Linked DNA regions of Saccharomyces cerevisiae S288C. The protein of the gene in region 1 interacts with the protein of each later gene in a pairwise test. Each region holds a gene or a part of one and is shown in the gene's direction. Other genes may lie near its edges.

Evidence for each region. The genes of interacting proteins can lie anywhere in the genome.
Region 2: the proteins of NSG2 (region 1) and AUS1 interact in a protein complementation assay, tested with the Saccharomyces cerevisiae proteins (one study listed by BioGRID).

Annotation. Positions count from the first base shown.
Region 1 is NC_001146.8:337,089-343,799, reverse strand, and holds NSG2 (Nsg2p), read left to right. Parts: upstream 1-1,831; coding exon 1,832-2,731; downstream 2,732-6,711. Other genes in the region: serine/threonine protein kinase YCK2, read left to right, coding at 1-164; CUZ1 (Cuz1p), read right to left, coding at 460-1,284; YNL155C-A (uncharacterized protein), read left to right, coding at 1,665-1,889; IGO1 (phosphatase regulator), read right to left, coding at 2,942-3,448; PGA1 (Pga1p), read right to left, coding at 3,592-4,188; ASI2 (Asi2p), read left to right, coding at 4,453-5,322; YGP1 (Ygp1p), read right to left, coding at 6,191-6,711. UniProt on the Saccharomyces cerevisiae protein: Stabilizes the HMG-CoA reductase HMG2 by preventing its HRD1-dependent degradation. Binds directly to the sterol-sensing domain (SSD)-containing transmembrane region of HMG2, promoting its folding to protect it from degradation.
Region 2 is NC_001147.6:347,737-355,288, forward strand, and holds AUS1 (ATP-binding cassette sterol transporter AUS1), read left to right. Parts: upstream 1-1,942; coding exon 1,943-6,127; downstream 6,128-7,552. UniProt on the Saccharomyces cerevisiae protein: Transporter involved in the uptake of sterol.

The DNA of each region.
Region 1 (6,711 bases):
AATCCAAACAGTTTGCCAATACAGGTGCCAATGGTCAAACTAACAAGTATCCATATAATGCGCAACCAACGGCGAACGACGAACAAAACGCTAAAAACGCAGCGCAAGATAGAAATAGTAACAAATCATCGAAAGGTTTTTTCAGTAAGCTAGGATGCTGTTAGAATAGAAAACGGAGGAGGTTTTTTGTAATCATTCCCACCACCGTCCAGTGATCTTCACATTTTGTTCTAGTATTATGATTTTGATGTACATTTGATATTTTTTTATGTTTTTTATTTAAAAAGTAAGGGCGAAAATGTCTATTATTAAAAAAATATTAAGTACTTTACGTGCTTTTTAATATCGTTTTTTATTGATTATGTATCTTTAATGGGTTATTGATTTTTTTTGTTTTCTTTTTATATAGTATATACGCTTGACGTTCCGCGCGATTGTTTGTTATTTATAGTGTCCTTCTTAATTAGATTTTTCGTCGGCGTTATTGTGTACTAAATACAGAGTATCAAGATCTTTGATCTCATTAGTGACTCTTAAGGAAGCGCCAATATTATAAAATGAAACTTGTTTACCCTCTTTCAATTTGCATAGTTGAAATTTGTCATTAGAACTTGAATTAGTTAGTGTGCTAGATTTCACGTTTAGCTGGATAGACAAATAGTCCATGGCCCTACCCACAGGCCACATTTTGTTAATGTATAATGGCATTCTTGTATCCTCCTTGGCTATATCCGTCTCATCACCATCCACCAAGTAACACCAAATGTAAATCCTATTTTGCATAGGAATCTTGGGGTCACCTTTAGCAATTTTCTTGAGATTAGCCAATTGAATTATCTTATTCGACGAGGAACCGAAATTCTTTTTTGATTTGTTATTGCTCTTTCTTTTCTCATTCCTTTGGAAGAACTTAAATATTTTGTCTAATGTCTTTGAGTTCAAAGTAGAGCTCACTTTGGCAGTGTTAGAACCTCTCAAAGGCTCTCTTGTTTCACTTACTCTCTGGATTCTAACACTGGCCCTCTCAGGTAACAGACTCTTGAAATATGCTTCATCGTTAGAACTTGAGCCATCCCGGCTTTTGCTAGGACTTTTTTCAGTTTTATGAACTTCTTCATGCTCTAGCAACCACCTACAGTGGTGATCTTCCTTAAGTCTATGGTTCGAGCAGAAATCTTCATTGCAAAACGAACAATGGAAAGGTAGGAAGTCTAGTTGTCTACAATATGCACAGTGCTTTCCTACATCCAACATTCCGGTTTCTTTTTCGATAGCCGCCGACATTCTTAAATATAGCAAAAATTAGTTGATGGTCCTTTTTTTTATATCAAAATTAATGCAAGCTCTTGCAGTAGATGTACACTACAATGTGCCTATAGCTCACTGTTGTCACACTTCCGCCCTAGCTCGAGTCCTTGCTTGTACAAGCTCTTATTACATCTTTATACTCATTTGTAGAACATGCTTTTGCCACCGAAAGGAGGGTGAGGCAGTTTTATGTATATACGAACGTCGCTGGCCACGAGGGGGGAACTTTTCTTTTTATCGGCATGAGATAAAGGGTAGATACGAAATTAGCTAGACATTTAAAATATGAAAGCAAGGAAATTACTAAACTTCGAGATGTTCTTTTCCTTAAACTTCTAGTTGACAGCTCAACATTGATGATAGGGCTTATTGTAGTACCTATTTTATTTGCAATAAAGGGCATAGTAGTTGGCGTGCAAAAGGTAAAGAAAAAGTTTGGAAAGCACTCAAACACAAAGGACCAAAAAGAAGACAAGGACGAAGATAAACGACAAAGTATTTCTCAAAGAAAACAGCATACAGAATGGCCAATAGAGGAGAACCGGATCCAAAGAAGAGCACCGAATCAATCTGCTCTCTGACTAAACCGCAGCTTTATTCATTATATGATGATGACGTCGTGAGATCGGAAGATAACGAAATTTACGAAGAATTGAAACGCTCTGTCTCTATAGATTCTACCAAATATAGTAGAGATCAAACTATTGATTCGACTTTTTACTTGGCCCATAAGGTTGGCGGCTCGCTGCCAAGGAACACAGTATCTTCTAATAATTTGGAAAGGATTTTATCAGCATCATCCATTCACGAAAACTTTCCGTCAAGAACCAGACAAACTCGTCAAAATATTCTTCATTACCTGCAAGCTGTATTAATTTTGTCATTGAGCGGTTTCGCATATCATGAACTGTCCAGAAACTTGCACGATAATCATCTCTTACATCCAGATTTTGCATCGAGACCCCTTCTACTGGGTGTCAAACTTTGTAACTGGCTATCCAATGGGGTTCTGCCAAACTGGTTAGGCTACGGTGTTGAAGGACTGTTATTTGGTTCTGTTGTACCAATTCTGGATAATATTTTTCAAACAGAGGTTGTTAAGAGCTCTGTCCACCATGACAGTTTGACCTCTGTTATTAGAAGTATCAATGCCATGTTGGGAGTCACATTTGGGATCAGGAAAATACAGTGGAACTCCTCTTTGCAGGCGGCAGGGGCATGGGGGCTTCTGAATATTATACTGTGGTTGTTTTTTGACGGCTCAATATCCATGTTAATGAGCTGCATCTGCATTGGGGTGGGTTGTTGTATCTCTTGCTACAAAGATATTATCGACGGTTCCCAATTTTTATATTTCATGGATTTTTATTTCCTTGGTTCTCTAATGTTTGGAAAACTAGGAAGATATCTATATTCTCATTAAAGTCGAAATTCTGACGAGTAAATATTATTAATTAGAAGTACAAGAAGATAACATCAGAATGGCTTATCGTTTATATATAACTAATTAACGTAAACACAGTCAGCCATATGGCTGTAACACTTGACATTTCGAGAAATCACATAATAAGCGTTAAATATAAGAGACCCTTCTCTTTCCCTAAAAAAATATAAAAAAGTACAGGTTGTCTATTTATCTAATGGGTGATTCAGTATACAAACTGGACGACGAAGAGCTGTGGTTCCCCACTGGCGTTGAACTTGTACTACCACCTCCAATAGTACCGTTATTAGACGATGGTGGTCCACTCGATATACTTCCCTCCTTTTGTATCAACGTCGCATTATCTACTACACCAGCGGTTGAGGCAGTTGACGGACAAGTGCTTATCCTTCTTTTTATTATATCTTCTCGTAGTTTGCTGGGATTTGTTAATGGCAGGTTATTCTTTCCATAGTTTATTGGATCATTGTTTTGAATGCCAGCTTTCTGCAAAGCGTAATCACCACTGTCGAAATATTTTCTTTTCTGCATGGTATGCTTAAAAATATCTTTCTTTGATGGCAGCTTTCCGTACATTTTGTATAGCTTCATTTCGTTGGGCGAGAATTTGCTGGTATCAATAGTTCCGCTTTCGCCGTTATTCAGTTTAGTTAAATCTGGGTTACTACTATTGGGAGATAAGTTTTCATTCGACATAGCGGCGAGTTAGATATTCAGGTCCCTTTCTTTCGATAAAAATACCCACTTTAATGAGAAGCATTTGATGGTTAATGGACTTTTTTACGTTCTAGTTGTGATGAGGCCAAGCTATCCAGCCAAAGGGGGCTCAGGCTTCCATACTAAAATTTCAGCAAAAGATCGTTCAATACGTGTGGTGCCCGGGTAACAACAAGCCCTGCTACTAATAGCACCATAACGATTAATGTTGGGTAAATATCCACGGGGATACCTAGCCGAGTGGTGATTAATGAGACTTGTATTGGAACCATGGCATGCTCACTAGGATACGAGTCAGACAAGACCTGGAAAGTCACTAGTATTCTCGCGTAGTCTGACTTAGTTCCCTGAAATTCAGTGAAACGTGGTATTGTGATAGTTTGGAGATTATTAATGGAAATTGGATGTATTGCTGACCAACACACTTTAATCTGATATGTTTCGTCTCGCTGTAAGTCCGCCAGTTCAATATACGTAGTATTATGCAACTCCAAGTCAGTGGTATTGGCCTCGATAGTGATCTGACTCATTGCTTCTCCCGATAGTGATATGGAAGATATCAAGTTTACATCTCTTGCATAAGTAGAGCTGTCTCTTGGTTTTTTGAGGGGAAAGTTGTGAGGAACCTTATATAAGATTGATTCTGTATTAGCGTGTACAAATCCGATGAAAAATACAATTGTAGCGATAAACCAGTGAACATTCTGAGGCCGGACCATCTTCTTTTTAAAAATTGAACGAACCTATGTTGGCTTAGTGTGTGCGAATACCAAGGGTCAACAACATTGCTGTGCAGTTAATCTTCATATTCATGTAAACTTCTCATTTTTTCATTGCATATTAGTTTCCGTCATTGATGATCTTTTATAACAATAGTGAGAGGAAACAACTCCCTCTACCTTCAAATAGGGTCGATTCGGGAATATGATTAAAGAGACACCGAATCAAACGCATACATCCTCACAAGCATTTAGTGAGAAAAAATGGCGAGGCCTCAAAATCATCGCCGCAGTAATTGGACAGAAAGAGACGATAATGATGATTATCTGTTTCAGCGATTTCTAGAAGAATCGGAAACGAGGCATAGTAGAGAGCCTTCACCTGTAACCGAGCAATCTCAGCAAGAACTACAGCAGGATGTACAGCAAGCAATCGATGGAATATTTAACTCCCTTAGGAGGAATATGAGTTCTACTTCAAATATAAATAGAGCAGCTAATATGGATGCAACCACAAACGGAAATGGAGGAATCAATGCAGACACTATAAGAGCCACCAACGCCAATACGGCCGATTCCCCATTCACAGCAAGGCAGCAGAGCCCTCTCAGAACTTTTCTTAGAAATTTATTCATTTTAGATTACTTTATTGGGCTAATTTTATTCCCATTTTCCGTATACAACATATTAAGGAGCGGGTTCAATTCAATGACCTTTTCAGAGAATGATTTTATAATCGAAATCGTGGGATACTGGAAATTTGCCAAGATATTTGGTTCTGGTGGCACGACATTAATAGCATATAAGGATACTGGTAAATTAGGGTTGCTTGGAAAGTTTCATAACATCATTGTATTTTACTCTTCACCTGTGATAAAACATATTATGAAAAGTAGAGATGGCAATGAACCCAACTTAAATTGGATAAGACTAATGTTCGCTAAAGCTTTCGAGCTATTTGTCAAAGTCTCTACCATTCTGATCTATTTAGCTTATGGCGTAAGTGGTACCGTTTACATGGTTACCGCTGGGTTTTTCTTCGTATTGTGTCTATTATTCACTGTTATTAGAAGATATAAAGGTGTCCATCGAATGTTGGTGAGCCAAAGGATTACAGGGCCAGGCGTATTCTGATGATGAATCCACGATTATAATTTGTGTATTTGCTTATCTGTAGTAGTTTCTTTCGCATGTGGTCGCTGTATGAGACACTTGACACCAGAGGACGTTTATTTTGAAGCAACTCCTCTATGTAAGAGCTGTTTGCAAGCTTTCCGTACTGTGACACTTGACCATCATAACGTATATTAACGAACTACTAGGGTTGTTGTGGGCTTCTTTCAAAATGGGAATTGTTAAAAACTATTGATAAACGCCACTCACTACATGCATTGATTGTAAGATTTAACTATCCTTTTTACCTGATGTCTCGAAAATAAGCGTTTACAACAACTACTATTTTGCCGTTCTAGTTTAAAACATGGACGCTATAAAACACTAAATATATCAGAAGATTTCACTTAGACACAAAAGAAGGGGGTGAGATCCCTTATCTGTAGTAAAATGTATACAAATTATACGGACATTGTTTCTTTATTGTATCCATGTATACATGTGGGGTCTTGACACTTACAGGTAGTGAATGCTAGACCTTCGAGACTTAAGGTGAGCAATGTTTTAAAACTTTTCTTTTTTTCCCACTTCAGTGGAGTGTCACCCCGGGAAGATATTCACCTATGGTCAATGTAGCAAAAGATAATAAAAAAATATGTATGGCCAAGAATTTATATGATTCTTTCATCAATTAATTAATTAATTATTTGGGGTATGTCTTAAATAACAATAAAAAGGTGTATAAAACAATCATACTGCTTTAATGGGAAGTATGGTTCCTATTACGAACGAAAATAAAAGCTGTTGCGTGGAAATTTTGTAAAATAATGGTTATGATGACTGGTAAAAAAAGAATCTCTATGCTTCGCTAGATTTAATATCTATCAGTTCATGGGAAAATGCTTTCCAGAGCGGACTTGGAGGTGACACCATTAACGGCAGCAATGGACAACAAGATTTGGGCCTTAATTGGGGATAGGTAACCAGCACCCACAGCGTTCTTTGGAACATCTTTGTTGTCAATAAAGTTTAATGGAGTGTTAGCTTGAGCATATACGACTGGGATTTCAGTGCTTTCAATAGTAGATGAGGTTGAGTTGGTAGAACCAGAAGAAACAACAACCAAACCTTGAACGGCAGAACTCAAGGAGTCAATCAAACTGGAAGAGTAACCACCGTCATAGACAATTGGAACAATTGGAACACCGTTTTCTAATAGACCATAAGGAGTAGTGAAGTTACTGTATTCCTTTCTGATAATCGAGTCAGAAGAGATTAAAGTTGGCTTAGAAGCATCGAAGAACCATTTAACTTCGTCTTGGTCATCAACGATAGCAACAGGCAAACCAGCACCGTAAGAACAAGCAGTAGGTGGAGTGAAGACACCGGAGTACACTAATTTGTCAGAAG
Region 2 (7,552 bases), on another chromosome or scaffold:
GGAGTAAAATTCACGCCTTTTTTGTCCACTCCTTTTTCCGTAAATATTACATAATTAAATAGTCACAGCTCTTACGCACCTGTTTGGCCGCACATGAGAGTTAAACGCAAACTCCGCCGAGGCGTCGTTTTTCTAGCTGCTGCTTCACGTTTTATGGAGTCATATTCTGGTCTAAAAAAATTATACTAGGCAGGTAATGGATTGTTTTAAGTTTCTTGTTAACTCACATAGGATCTTTTTTGAGTACCTTGTGAAATGGTTAGATTTGATACCTTATTTTTTTCCAACATTACATTATTTTAGTATCGTTCAAGTTCTCCTTTACTTTTAGAGATTACGCCTACATTATGTATGCCGAACTTAGTAGGAACTATTTGTACGCAAAACATGAATTGTTTGTCGTGTCTGCATACATTAGTGTTGACAGTCAGAGAACTTGATTTTAAAAATAAAAGTTTCTTGTTTACAAAAAAGTATGGTCACCCGGTGTCTTTGCTATAATGGGAACAGAAAACCATTTGCAAGACTACTAAAATACGATTTTGTAATTTGACGTTACAAATATAGGGATAGTTGATAAATAGTTACGCGCAGTTAACTTTTCCTCACCAAAGGACAGTTATTTACCTACTGATTGAAAATGTTTTGGCACAGGATACCAGTTTTCAAATTTATTAATTAATTAAGGAGAAGTGAGAAATGATTAGAAAGCAATTAAGCGGTGAAGGTCTGCTTTTTATACTTACAAGAACGTATTATTAGCAGCCAACGCACTACAGTTGTTGACTAAGTTTTGTTTTAATTTGATTCGTAGTTGTTGGTCGAATTTTGTTTTGACTTGTTTTCAGTTTCTTTTTTTTTAATGCCTGACGTTGAAGAGCACGCAGGCCTATGAAAAAAAAAAATTATACGAGTTACTTGGAATTCGCTCCCATTGCACCAATTTCAGGAAGCGATCAAAAAGAAAGCAATGTTATTCAACATAACTTTATTCATACTGTAGTAACAATAACTTCATATCAATTAGGATTCACTGTTCATTGACTTATCACTACAATATGGAGGAAACGTTGCGTAATCGTTGTCGCTATAGATATTGTCCCTCCCTTCCTCTGTGATAGTTCTTCTTTATATAACTTTCACAAAAGCTTCTGCCCTCATAGTTGCCCTCAATAAACGAAAGGCCAGATGCATACAGGTGCAGTAGTACATCCAAAGAAACATAGGGGCAAAAACCGTGTTCTAATATTAGACTGCATATATCCCCTTGTCATTAGCTTAAATCATATAGAGTAATATGTACATACAGGTTATTTTATTTGTAGCTTTCCTCCTCTTTATGGAGCAAAGTAAGCCATACGAACGGTTTACAATAGAGAGCGTCGTTTGCTTACGTGATTGTCATGTGCCTTCGTAGGCAAAGGGGATTGCACACCTTTTTACTAAACAATAGAAAAGTGAGAATTCTCTTATAGGCACTGCTGCTCCTCGTTTCTTTTTACGCGCTGTCGTTCCAGGTCCTTTTTTCGATTAACTACGGTAGTTTCAAAGAGAGTGCCTGAAGATCACTCCATATACAGGCTAGATGAACTGTAAACGAGCTCATCAGCAGCGTCCCTTTCAGTGTCACTACAGCCACAGCAGCTTACCTCCTGTACGATGTGACAGAGCAAAACACAAATGTGTGTCCTTTCTACTCTTATTTTCCAACTCGAATATAAAGACGGTGCCTTTGCCTTATTTCTAAGGCACTGAACAGTTCTAAAAGTAAAGTTTTCCCTAGCCTTAGTACCGTTTCTGTGAAGCAGTTATTGAATAGTTATTGGACATAAAAATCCATATTGAAAAAAAAAAAAACATACTTGAGAAGGCATTAGCTGAATAGTAAAGACTGCTGTAATTCATCTCTCAGTCCTTGCAGTCTGCTTTTTCTGGAATTAATATGTCAATTTCAAAGTACTTCACTCCCGTTGCTGACGGGTCACTCACTTTCAATGGCGCGAACATTCAATTTGGCGCCGATGCTCAAGGCGAGTCAAAAAAGAGTTATGACGCTGAGGACAGCATGCCGAATCCGGCAAATCAACTAAATGACATAACCTTCCAAGCAGAGGCTGGTGAAATGGTTTTGGTTTTGGGTTATCCCACATCCACTCTATTTAAGACTTTGTTTCATGGTAAAACTAGTTTGTCATACTCTCCTCCAGGCTCGATTAAATTTAAAAATAATGAGTTTAAGAGCTTTTCCGAAAAATGTCCCCACCAAATCATTTACAATAATGAACAAGATGTGCATTTCCCATTTCTAACGGTAGAACAAACAATTGATTTTGCCTTGAGTTGTAAGTTCGATATTCCAAAAGGTGAGCGCGATCAAATAAGAAATGAACTTCTAAGAGAATTCGGCCTGTCTCATGTATTGAAAACTATTGTAGGAAATGATTTTTTCCGTGGTGTTTCTGGTGGTGAGCGTAAACGTATTTCTATTATTGAAACGTTTATTGCTAATGGTTCCGTTTATCTATGGGATAATTCTACTAAAGGTTTAGATTCCGCCACAGCTCTCGATTTTTTGGAAATTCTTAGAAAAATGGCAAAAGCTACTCGTTCTGTAAACTTAGTCAGAATTTCCCAGGCAAGTGATAAAATTGTTGATAAGTTTGACAAGATTCTTATGCTATCCGATTCCTACCAGCTTTTCTATGGTACGGTCGATGAGTGTTTGACTTATTTTCGTGACACTTTAGGTATTGAGAAAGATCCTAACGATTGTATTATTGAATATCTGACCTCTATCTTAAATTTTCAGTTCAAAAATAAAAATTTGGGGAATTTATCAAATTCATCATCTGCTAGCGTTCTCAAAACCGCAACAGGGGAAGTCACTAAGTATACTTATAATTCTGATTTCGATTTATATGATCAATGGAAACATTCTTCGTACTATAGAAATATAAAGCAGCAAATCCAGGGGTCTTCAATTGATGACTCCATTAAGGAAGTGGATCCCTCTGATGTCTCACCTATTTTTAATATTCCGTTGAAGAAACAATTATTATTTTGCACAAAAAGAGCTTTTCAACGAAGTTTGGGTGATAAAGCTTATATGACGGCACAATTTATTTCTGTCGTTATTCAATCTTTGGTCATTGGTTCACTGTTTTACGAAATTCCGTTGACTACCATTGGTTCATACTCAAGAGGTTCTTTAACCTTTTTCTCCATTCTTTTCTTCACTTTTCTTTCTCTTGCAGATATGCCTATTGCCTTCCAAAGACAACCCGTCGTTAAAAAGCAATCCCAACTTCACTTCTATACTAACTGGGTTGAAACCCTTTCAACAACAGTGTTCGACTACTGCTTTAAACTTTGTTTGGTAATTGTATTCAGTATCATCCTATACTTCCTTGCTCACCTGCAATACAAGGCTGCAAGATTTTTCATTTTCCTCCTGTTCCTTTCCTTTTACAATTTCTGTATGGTGTCCTTATTCGCTTTGACGACACTAGTTGCTCCAACCATTTCAGTTGCAAATTTATTTGCAGGTATTCTGCTACTAGCTATAGCAATGTATGCTTCTTACGTCATCTACCTGAAAAATATGCATCCTTGGTTTGTATGGATTGCTTATCTAAATCCTGCAATGTACGCTATGGAGGCAATACTGTCTAATGAGCTTTACAATTTGAAGCTGGATTGTAGTGAGACAATTGTTCCAAGAGGTCCTACTTACAACGATGTTCCATTTTCCCATAAGGCCTGTGCTTGGCAAGGTGCTACTCTGGGTAATGATTACGTTAGAGGCCGTGATTACTTGAAGCAAGGTTTATCCTACACGTATCATCATGTGTGGAGAAACTTTGGTATTATCATTGGTTTCCTAGTATTCTTTATTGCCTGTACTCTGTTTGCATCTCAATATATTAAGCCTTATTTCAATAAGGATGAAATAGAGCGCAACAATAGTCGTTTGACAAGATGGCTACCATTTTTGAATAAAAAGAGAGGTACCAGGTCCTCTGCAAGAAATGACAGTAAGTATGTTGGTATCCCAAAGTCGCACTCCGTTTCGTCTTCCTCGTCTAGCCTGTCGGCTGTTCCATATCAGATATCACCCTCAAATAAGGAAATGGCTCTAAACGATTATAACGAGCAACCTATCACGGAAACAGTAGAGACTCAAAAGCATATCATCTCTTGGAAAAATATCAACTACACAGTTGGTACAAAGAAACTGATTAATAATGCATCCGGTTTCATCAGTTCTGGTTTGACCGCCTTAATGGGTGAGTCCGGTGCAGGTAAAACTACTTTGCTGAATGTCTTATCACAAAGAGTTGAGACAGGTGTTGTTAGCGGCGAAATTTTGATCGATGGCCACCCATTGACAGATGAGGACGCGTTTAAGAGAAGTATTGGTTTTGTTCAACAACAGGATTTGCATCTAGATTTGCTGTCTGTGAAAGAATCTCTGGAAATATCATGTCTTTTGAGAGGTGATGGTGACAGGGCATACTTAGACACTGTTTCAAATTTACTGAAATTGCCATCTGACATTTTAGTCGCTGATTTAAACCCGACTCAAAGGAAGCTTTTATCTATCGGTGTTGAACTTGTTACTAAGCCTTCACTTTTATTATTCCTAGACGAACCAACCTCTGGGCTGGACGCTGAGGCTGCACTAACAATCGTCAAATTTTTAAAACAACTTTCTTTACAGGGTCAGGCTATTTTTTGTACCATTCATCAGCCTAGTAAAAGTGTCATCAGCCATTTTGACAATATTTTCTTATTGAAAAGGGGTGGTGAATGTGTCTTCTTTGGACCAATGGACGATGCCTGCGGCTATTTCATGTCTCATGACAACACGCTCGTTTACGATAAAGAACATGATAACCCTGCAGATTTCGTCATTGATGCAGTAGGTAACAGTAACTCCTCGGCAGGGAAAGATACAGCGGAGGAAGCTCTTACTTTGAACAAAGAAGCCATAGATTGGAGTGCATTATGGGAATCTTCTGTAGAAAAGAAACTAGTTAAAAAAGAAACAGCTAGGTTAGAAGATGATGCTCGTGCGTCTGGTGTTGATTACACAACCTCATTGTGGAAGCAGCCTTCCTACTTACAGCAATTAGCTCTTATTACAAGAAGACAATATATTTGTACGAAAAGAGACATGACTTATGTCATGGCCAAGTACTGTTTGAATGGTGGCGCTGGTTTGTTTATCGGTTTCTCATTTTGGCACATTAAGCATAATATTATCGGTTTGCAGGATAGTATCTTCTTCTGTTTCATGGCTCTTTGTGTTTCATCTCCATTGATCAATCAAATTCAGGACAAAGCCTTGAAAACAAAGGAAGTTTATGTTGCTAGGGAGGCGAGATCTAACACTTATCACTGGACTGTTCTTCTTTTGTCACAGTCAATTATTGAACTACCACTGGCACTTACAAGTTCCACACTATTTTTCGTCTGTGCCTTTTTCTCTTGTGGATTTAACAACGCTGGCTGGAGTGCCGGTGTTTTCTTTTTAAACTATATGCTTTTCGCTGCTTATTACTCGACTCTTGGTTTATGGCTGATCTATACTGCTCCTAATCTACAAACTGCTGCTGTTTTTGTTGCGTTTATTTACAGTTTTACAGCATCATTCTGTGGTGTTATGCAACCATACTCTTTGTTTCCAACTTTTTGGAAATTCATGTACAGGGTTTCGCCATACACATATTTTGTGGAAACTTTTGTTAGTATTCTATTGCATAACTGGGAAATCAAGTGTGACATGTCGGAGATGGTTCCTGGTCAACCTCTGACGGGGCAATCTTGTGGCCAATTTATGGAAGCTTTCATAGAAGAATACGGTGGCTATCTACATAATAAGAACACTTTCACAGTCTGCGCTTATTGTACGTACACTGTTGGCGATGACTTCCTGAAAAATGAGAATATGAGTTACGACCACGTTTGGAGGAACTTTGGTATTGAATGGGCTTTTGTTGGTTTCAATTTCTTTGCGATGTTTGCTGGTTACTACTTAACTTACGTGGCAAGAATATGGCCAAAGGTCTTTAAAATTATCACCAAAGTAATTCCACACAGAGGGAAGAAGCCTGTACAGAACTAATACCATTTTTAAATATATTTCTACTTTCTACTTAATAGCAATTTTAATTAATCTAATTATTTACAAGTCACCAATGACTGACTAAACAATTGAAAGAGTCCTTTGTACAACAAAAAAAAAGATACTTGTCGCTGACGCTCAAAAAATATTTATATAGCAAAAGTGCACGACAAAAAATGCTTCCAATCGGATTTGAACCGATGATCTCCACATTACTAGTGTGGCGCCTTACCAACTTGGCCATAGAAGCAGTAAACCGTTATTTTGTTGTTTCTCAGAGTGGTACACGTCAGTATGACAATACATCATCCTAAAACGTTCATATGAAACAACCTTATAACAAAACGAACAGAATGAGCAACATGACATATAACTTCGCCTCCCTTAGCTTAACCACCCAAACGTATAGACGCCTGAGCAATTAATTTAGATCCGAGGTTCGGCGCTTCCACCAATTAATATGATCCATATTTTATATAATATATAGGATAAGTAACATCCCATGAAAAGCTGATAATCCGTTCTGACAACTGGTTACTTCCATTGACTGTTTATATTGGGATTTTCAAGACACCCCGGTATTACTCGTACCCGTAAAACAACATACACTTCGTCATGACTGAGAAGAATATAGGAGTAAAAAGAATACCTGAACTAACAGATATAATCAGCATCATGTTTTTTAAGCGAGAATACAGAAATATTCAAATTAAGATAGGCAACAAGGATTAGTTTAAATCTGAAAATCTTTTAAGATTAGGTACCTAATTTAGCTATATTGCTTTATGATTAGTTATAACGTCATTGGAGGAACAAACTATTGGAATAAGAATCGACTATAATCTACCGGCGAGTATTCATAAGCTATTATATTGTGGTAGACGGAGTAGAAAGATAAAAAAGGATTGAAAACAGTCATCTGATTTAATGGAAGCTGAAATGCAAGATTTAATAATGTAATAGGATAATGAATGACAACATAAAAAATAGAAGAAATAATAATAGTAACATTATGTGGAAATATGGGTTTCCTTGGCAGGTTCCTATATCCTTGAGAAAGAGCTTCTAATATATTTTGTATATTTAGTATTATAACTAAGCTGTTAGAAAATAAAATACCGCTAAATCAATTGAGGCGGTATTAAATACCTGTACATTTGAATATTTGGAATGAGAAAGAAATATAGTTACATAATGTACAAAAAAGAAGCAAGAAAGGAATATATATATATATATATATATATATATATATGTATATTGTTATTTAGAATATCTCTCTCTCTTCGAGAATCTCTATATCCTCGAAAAGAACTTTTAGCATATTCACGATAGGTCGTATTATCAATTAAATCAATTACGAAGTTCGGAAGTTATTGCCTACATAATATGATGTCCTGTTCATAAAAATAGAGCCCTAAGAAGTGT